Saccharomyces cerevisiae S288C: one gene and its partner. The gene in region 2 interacts genetically with the main gene of each other region. Each region holds a gene or a part of one and is shown on either strand. Other genes may lie near its edges. The genes, in order: FCY22 and TPO2.

Region 1 (4,252 bases), on a different chromosome or scaffold from region 2:
ATCGCACGGAACAGAAGAATTAGTTGAAGCTAAACTGTCGTTTTTGAACAGAATTGCTGCTGGTTTAAGTGCCGAGACAAAGGGTATTGAACCGATTACAGAAGATGAAAAAACTGATGATTCTATACTGAACGCTGCATCTATGTGGTTTTCAGCAAATATGGTTCTGCCTGCTTATGCCATTGGCGCCCTAGGGCCTATGGTGTTTGATCTAAATTTCGGCCAAAGCGTTTTCGTTATTATTTTCTTTAACCTCTTAGGCTTGGTATCAGTTGCTTTCTTTTCTGTTTTCGGTGCAGAGCTGGGCCTAAGACAGATGATTTTGTCTAGATATTTAGTTGGCAATATCGCAGCCAGGATCTTCTCTTTCATCAATTTTATTGCCTGTATCGGTTGGGGTATCGTTAATACCGTAGCAAGCTCGCAAGTCCTGAATATGGTTAACCCCGGTCATCAATGTCCTCTCTGGGCTGGTTGTATAGTTATTATCGGTGCTACTGTAATTGTAACTTTTTTCGGCTATGGAGTCATTCATGCTTACGAGAAATGGGCGTGGGTACCAAATTTTGCCGTTTTTTTGGTAATAATTGCTCGTTTGGCAAGGTCTAAAAAATTTGTCCTTGGGGAGTGGACATCTGGTCCTACTACAGCAGGTAACGTGCTTTCATTTGGATCAACAGTTTATGGGTTTGCTGCAGGCTGGACAACATATGCGGCTGACTATACCGTTTATATGCCAAGGAAAACGAACAAGTATAAAATTTTTTTCTCGCTTGTAGTTGGGTTAGCAACACCATTATATTTTACTATGATACTTGGTGCAGCTGTAGCAATGGCAGCTATCGGCGATCCAGCCTGGAAGACGTATTATGACGAAAATTCCATAGGTGGTTTAACTTTTGCCGTTCTTGTCCCTAATTCTGTTCACGGATTCGGTCAGTTCTGTTGCGTGTTATTGTCTCTGTCCACTATCGCTAATAATGTTCCCAACATGTATACTATTGCTTTATCGGTGCAAGCCACGTGGGAACCTCTTGCGAAAGTCCCAAGAGTTATTTGGACTTTATTAGGCAATGCGGCCGCACTGGGTATTGCCATTCCTGCCTGCTACTATTTTTCTACCTTCATGAATTACTTCATGGATTCCATAGGTTATTATTTGGCTATTTATATTGCCATTGCATGTTCAGAGCATTTTATTTATAGGCGTTCCTTCAGTGCTTACAATGTTGATGATTGGGATAGTTGGGAACGTCTACCTATCGGCATTGCAGGTACTGCTGCCTTAATTGTTGGTGCCTTTGGCGTAGCGTTGGGTATGTGCCAAACTTATTGGGTTGGCGAGATCAGCCGTTTGATCGGAGACTACGGTGGTGATATTGGATTCGAGTTAGGACTAAGTTGGGCATTTATAGTTTACAACATTGCTAGACCCTTTGAGCTCAAGTACTTTGGTCGTTAACGAAAGTTCATTTAAATGTTTCGCTATTTTAGTCTTTGTAATGTAACATAAATGGCTCTAGTATGCAAATCATTAAAAAATAGCATGTATGTTAATTAAATTATCACGGCTCATTCATTTGAGTTGATAACGCAATTCTGATAAGCATATCACGTGACTGTGGTTCTAAGAGTTACTCCGATCGCCAGTAAATACTTTATGAGACGTTGCATTATTTCTGTTTAGTTGATAAATTTTGATTTCTAGTCTGTTGAAAGCCTAATGCATGCAGATGACATAAATGTAGTCTGTTTTTGCACTGGTGATTTGTAAACCAGACAAATATATAACATGATAACCAAATTGTTTGTTATAAGATACGCTTGTCAGATTGAAATGGAGGGTGTTTCAGAAGGTGACTAAAATATCGAAGAAAAGTATGCCAGAAAAGTTAGCCATGTCAATGGTCGATATAAAAGATGCGGGGAGTGAACTAAGGGACCTCGAATCTGGAGCTCTGGACACAAAATCTTCCGCCGCTGATGTATACTATGAGGGTGTAGAATTGCATAGAACCAACGAATTCATTGATAATAAGCCGTCCTTTTTCAATAGGATTGCAGCTGCTTTAAATGCTGAGACGAAAGGTATTGAACCAGTTACAGAAGATGAAAAAAATGATGACTCGATACTCAATGCCGCCACTATATGGTTTTCAGCTAATATGGTGATTGTAGCCTATTCCGTAGGTGCCTTGGGTCCTCTAGTATTTGGCCTAAATTTCGGCCAAAGTGTTTTAGTTATCATTTTTTTCAATATTTTGGGTTTGATCCCTGTTGCATTATTCTCACTTTTTGGGGTAGAACTGGGCCTAAGACAGATGATTCTATCGAGATATTTGGCTGGTAACATCACAGCAAGATTTTTCTCTCTTGTTAATGTCATTGCTTGTGTCGGTTGGTGTGTTTTAAATATTTCTGTTTCTGCTCAACTTTTGAATATGGTGAATGAAGGCTCTGGGCACAACTGTCCTATTTGGGCAGGTTGTTTGATTATTGCTGGTGGTACCGTGCTTGTGACTTTTTTTGGTTACAGTGTCGTTCATGCATACGAAAAATGGTCGTGGGTACCCAATTTTGCTGCCTTTTTGGTCATTATTGCCCAACTATCGAGATCAGGAAAATTTAAAGGTGGTGAATGGGTAGGGGGTGCAACTACTGCAGGTGGTGTTCTTTCTTTTGGTTCATCTGTTTTTGGGTCAGCTGCGGGTTGGGCGACTTATGCAGCAGATTACACTGTTTATATGCCAAAGACCACAAGTAAATACAAAATTTTTTTTTCCGTAGTAGCCGGTCTAGCGTTCCCTCTATTTTTCACCATGATTCTTGGTGCTGCTTGCGGTATGGCGGCCCTTAATGACCCAACCTGGAAGTCATATTATGATAAAAACGCCATGGGTGGTGTCATATATGCTATCCTGGTCCCTAACTCTCTAAACGGATTCGGTCAATTCTGCTGTGTTTTGTTGGCTCTTTCAACTGTTGCTAATAATGTCCCTGGAATGTACACTGTCGCTTTATCCGCTCAAGCTTTGTGGGCACCTTTGGCTAAAATACCAAGAGTAGTCTGGACAATGGCAGGTAATGCTGCCACTTTAGGTATTTCCATCCCTGCTACCTATTACTTTGACGGCTTTATGGAGAATTTTATGGATTCCATTGGTTATTATTTGGCTATTTATATTGCCATTGCATGTTCAGAGCATTTTATTTATAGGCGTTCCTTCAGTGCTTACAATATTGATGATTGGGATAATTGGGAGCATCTACCTATCGGTATCGCAGGTACTGCTGCCTTAATTGCTGGTGCCTTTGGAGTAGCGTTGGGTATGTGCCAAACTTATTGGGTTGGTGAGATCAGTCGTTTGATCGGAGAGTACGGCGGTGACATTGGGTTCGAGTTAGGCGGAAGTTGGGCGTTCATCATCTATAACATTGTAAGACCTTTAGAACTCAAATATTTCGGTCGATGACTAAATGTTAATTGATTAATATTTTTGCTAATCATTGAAATGATTGGTTTTAATGGATAAATCTCGACATTCGAATAGATAGCATATAATTCAAAAACGATTATAATGGGATATATATATAAGTTTAATAATATTAACTCCCTTCCCATTTCTTGAAGAGAAGAGATGTGTTAACTCCTCCAAATCCGAAGCTGTTGCATAATGCGTACTTCGGATTAGCTCCCACAATAGGTTTGTCTCTTATGAAATGTAGCTTATCGGCCTCGTTATTTTCTAGAGTCAGAACATTGTCCAGGTTTAAGGTATGCGGCATCTTATCATCCTTCAAGGAACAAATTGTAAATATACTTTCTACGGCGCCAGCTGCACCTAAAAGATGGCCAATTGCACCTTTGTTACTGGATATGTACAGTGGCTTGCTTTTGGATCTTCCTGGTAAGAGTGCTGAGGCTACTGCCAGACACTCTGCTTTATCGCCTAGTAAAGTTGATGTAGCATGTGCATTGACGTAGTCAACATCAGTTGGTTCTAATCTAGCCATTTTTAGAGCCATCTCTATTGCTCTTTTGGCACCATTTCCATCAGCAGGAGGGGAGGTAATATGGCAGGCATCACTGCTTAAACCATAGCCCACGAGCTCAGAAATTATGTTTGCATTTCTCTTTTGAGCATGTTCTAGCGATTCCATGACAATCATTCCGCATCCTTCACCAAGTACGAATCCAGAACGTTGTGTATCAAAGGGTCTAGAGATCCCGTTTGTAGTAATCGACTTTGCT
Region 2 (3,852 bases):
AATCTACCTATTTGAAGACTCAGCAGCAGAGAGAAAGTTATATAGAGCAAGACAAAGTACACACAAAGAAAGCAGAGAACACAAATATTTGTGGGGAAGAAGCAAGGTGAGTGGCCGCAGTCATTTTCGGATGAATTTGAGGTTCATGTTTTGATGTTTATTTCTATAAGAAAAGTAAGGAGAAGCACCATTGAAGTATAAATATATCAGCACTGAATGCGCCATTACGGCAAAAAGGAAGGGGAATGCAAAAAAATAAAAAATCTGCCTCAGGTTTTAACACTTAAAGGCACGAAAATAAAAATAGAATGCGGCTGCTTACATACCACTAGCTGAGCAAGACAGCTGCCGTTCAATGTTTGTACTTCGCACCATGAGAGTTGTGGATATGTACTTTATGGACGAAGCTGAAACGGCTAACACTATTATTACGCGAACTTTTTCAACACTTTTACTTCGCCACAAGTGCCGAAGATCGAATCTTACCCAAAATCCGGTTATTTTGTACCTATGCAAAAACCCTTCCCCTGATCTATTTGCCATTTAGCCGCCCAAAGTACCGCAGAAGCTGTTACAAACACATCACGGGCCACCGGAAAAAGTATTTTTTTGCTGCTTACCTGAATATATTTGCGCTTAAAAAAATTTTCCGGCGCTTCCGAGTGAAATATACTGCTTAACTGTGTCCGGAGAAACCTCGTGCGGAAAACAGCGCAAACCGCAAAAACCCCGCAATGGGCGCGCTTACTCAAATTCCCTCGGGTGGTCTCACGGGCTGGCCGCAGCGCAGTCGCCTGCCGCACTAAACCTTAAAAATGCGAGAGCGCATGCACGGCGGACGTCGTGGAAGCCTGACGCGTGCGCCCTTCTCCTCCCGAGGGACATAATGTCTTGGTGCCTTACTAGAACCGATTTCTCGAGATGATTCCATAGCCGTTAAATTCATCTCAAAAGAATAGAGAACACAGCAGCGCAGAACGAAAACAAACTGTCGCGTCGCATTTTACTGAACGAGTCATTCGCATATTCTGCTTAGGTGTCTGAGTCTTTTAAACGCATTCTAGGTTTTTCGAAAAAGCCACCGAAGAACACTGCCATCCGCATGCACTGTAATGCCACTGTTTATTTTTTTTTCTTGCTATATATATACATTGCGCATACACCCTTTTGAGGTTTCGTACTAGGATTTTTTTGTATTTGTTTATGTTCTTTTTTCCTGAAGACATCAAGAAGAAATAAGAAAACAAATATATCATTTTATTGTTTGTGTTTATAGAGAACAATATACAACTTCCTTCTCCTACTATATCAAGTTTAATATTTAATTTTTTTTTTTTTTCGGTTTGAATTTTAATTTTAACTTTAATTTCAAAAAGTAATTGATACATTCTTTTATCAAAGCCCTGCTATTATTCTTTATTTCTACACCCTAATATTTTTTGTCCATTGATATTTTTCCTTTAATTCCATCTAATAACTAATCACAAAAATAATACACAAAACAAATATGAGTGATCAAGAATCTGTTGTTTCATTCAACTCACAAAACACTTCCATGGTGGACGTTGAGGGCCAACAACCTCAACAGTATGTCCCCTCAAAAACCAACTCTCGTGCAAATCAACTTAAGTTAACTAAGACTGAGACCGTCAAGTCTTTACAAGATTTAGGTGTCACTTCAGCCGCCCCAGTGCCTGATATCAATGCGCCACAAACTGCTAAGAATAACATTTTCCCTGAAGAATATACCATGGAAACACCATCTGGGCTGGTTCCAGTGGCTACCTTACAATCTATGGGTAGAACCGCCTCTGCCTTATCTCGTACTAGAACAAAGCAATTGAACCGTACCGCTACCAATTCCTCATCCACAGGTAAAGAAGAAATGGAAGAGGAAGAAACTGAAGAACGTGAAGACCAGAGCGGTGAAAACGAGCTAGATCCAGAGATCGAATTCGTTACTTTTGTTACTGGTGATCCAGAAAACCCTCACAATTGGCCCTCATGGGTTCGTTGGAGTTACACTGTCCTGTTGTCCATCTTAGTTATTTGCGTTGCCTACGGTTCTGCTTGTATCAGTGGTGGGTTGGGAACCGTTGAAAAGAAATACCATGTAGGTATGGAAGCCGCTATTTTATCATGTTCTTTAATGGTTATTGGGTTCTCGCTGGGTCCTTTGATTTGGTCTCCTGTTAGTGATCTTTACGGTAGAAGAGTTGCTTACTTTGTTTCTATGGGTCTTTATGTCATCTTCAATATCCCTTGCGCCTTAGCTCCAAATCTAGGTTGTCTTTTAGCTTGTAGATTTTTATGTGGTGTTTGGTCATCATCTGGTTTGTGTTTAGTTGGTGGGTCTATTGCCGATATGTTCCCAAGTGAAACAAGAGGTAAGGCTATTGCTTTCTTCGCTTTTGCTCCTTACGTTGGTCCCGTTGTTGGTCCACTAGTTAACGGTTTTATTTCCGTTTCTACCGGACGTATGGACCTGATTTTCTGGGTCAATATGGCCTTTGCAGGTGTTATGTGGATCATATCTTCTGCCATCCCAGAAACGTACGCTCCAGTTATCTTGAAGAGAAAGGCTGCTAGATTAAGAAAGGAAACTGGTAATCCCAAGATTATGACTGAGCAGGAAGCGCAAGGTGTCAGTATGAGTGAAATGATGAGGGCTTGTCTGTTGAGACCTTTGTACTTCGCTGTCACTGAACCTGTTCTAGTTGCCACTTGTTTCTACGTGTGTTTGATTTACTCTCTACTATATGCGTTCTTCTTTGCCTTCCCTGTCATTTTCGGTGAACTATATGGCTACAAAGATAACCTTGTGGGTTTAATGTTTATTCCTATTGTTATCGGTGCTCTTTGGGCGTTAGCCACAACTTTCTACTGTGAAAACAAATATTTACAAATTGTCAAACAGCGTAAACCTACTCCTGAAGATCGTTTGCTAGGTGCTAAGATCGGTGCTCCATTTGCTGCAATTGCTCTATGGATCCTGGGTGCTACCGCTTATAAACATATTATTTGGGTTGGTCCAGCTTCAGCTGGTTTAGCTTTTGGTTTCGGTATGGTGTTGATTTATTATTCATTGAATAATTACATTATTGATTGCTACGTCCAATACGCATCCAGTGCTCTGGCTACAAAGGTTTTCTTAAGATCCGCCGGTGGTGCTGCCTTCCCCTTGTTTACCATTCAAATGTACCACAAATTGAATTTGCACTGGGGTTCTTGGTTGTTGGCTTTCATCTCCACTGCTATGATTGCTTTACCTTTTGCATTTTCTTACTGGGGTAAGGGCTTGAGACATAAGTTGTCCAAGAAGGACTATTCCATCGACAGTGTTGAGATGTAAGCTGGTGCAAGTTTCCGGTAAAAATAATGATGTTCTAGTCATTCATATATACGATACAAAAATAACAAATTTCCACATATATTCTGAAAAATTAATTTTTAATATTTTATATTAGGAACTTCTCAAAAAAACGTCGGACATTTCTACATACTCTTTAACGAAATATCAAAGTATTATTGTTTTGCAGCTTCTGAATATCAAGATCGCTCTTGCTACTCTTCCTGAAGTCATACACCGTTATTTCTCACATAAAGCCTGCTTATTCGAAGACGACACAGTTGCACCTTTAAATTTTAACATTATTGTAATTGCCGCTACACTCCTCGTGGCCAATGTCTCTTGTTTTCAAATAATGTTCTCAGTATCACATTTAACTTTTTATTCCATGTATATGTGTGTACATACATCTATAGTGTACTACATAATAATTTCAAGCGCGGGATAATCAACACGCTAATTGACATTATGCAACTCAAAAATCCTGCTGGAGCTCTTTACGT

Evidence for each region.
Region 1: of TPO2 (region 2) and FCY22, changing one suppresses a phenotype caused by changing the other (phenotypic suppression), as found in Saccharomyces cerevisiae (one study listed by BioGRID).

The regions. Positions count from the first base shown.
Region 1 is NC_001137.3:274,692-278,943, forward strand, and holds FCY22 (purine-cytosine permease), read left to right. Parts: upstream 1-1,880; coding exon 1,881-3,473; downstream 3,474-4,252. Other genes in the region: FCY21 (purine-cytosine permease), read left to right, coding at 1-1,462; fatty acid synthase CEM1, read right to left, coding at 3,607-4,252. UniProt on the Saccharomyces cerevisiae protein: Probable purine-cytosine permease.
Region 2 is NC_001139.9:763,262-767,113, reverse strand, and holds TPO2 (spermine transporter), read left to right. Parts: upstream 1-1,507; coding exon 1,508-3,352; downstream 3,353-3,852. UniProt on the Saccharomyces cerevisiae protein: Cell membrane polyamine/proton antiporter, involved in the detoxification of excess polyamines in the cytoplasm. Recognizes spermine, but not spermidine.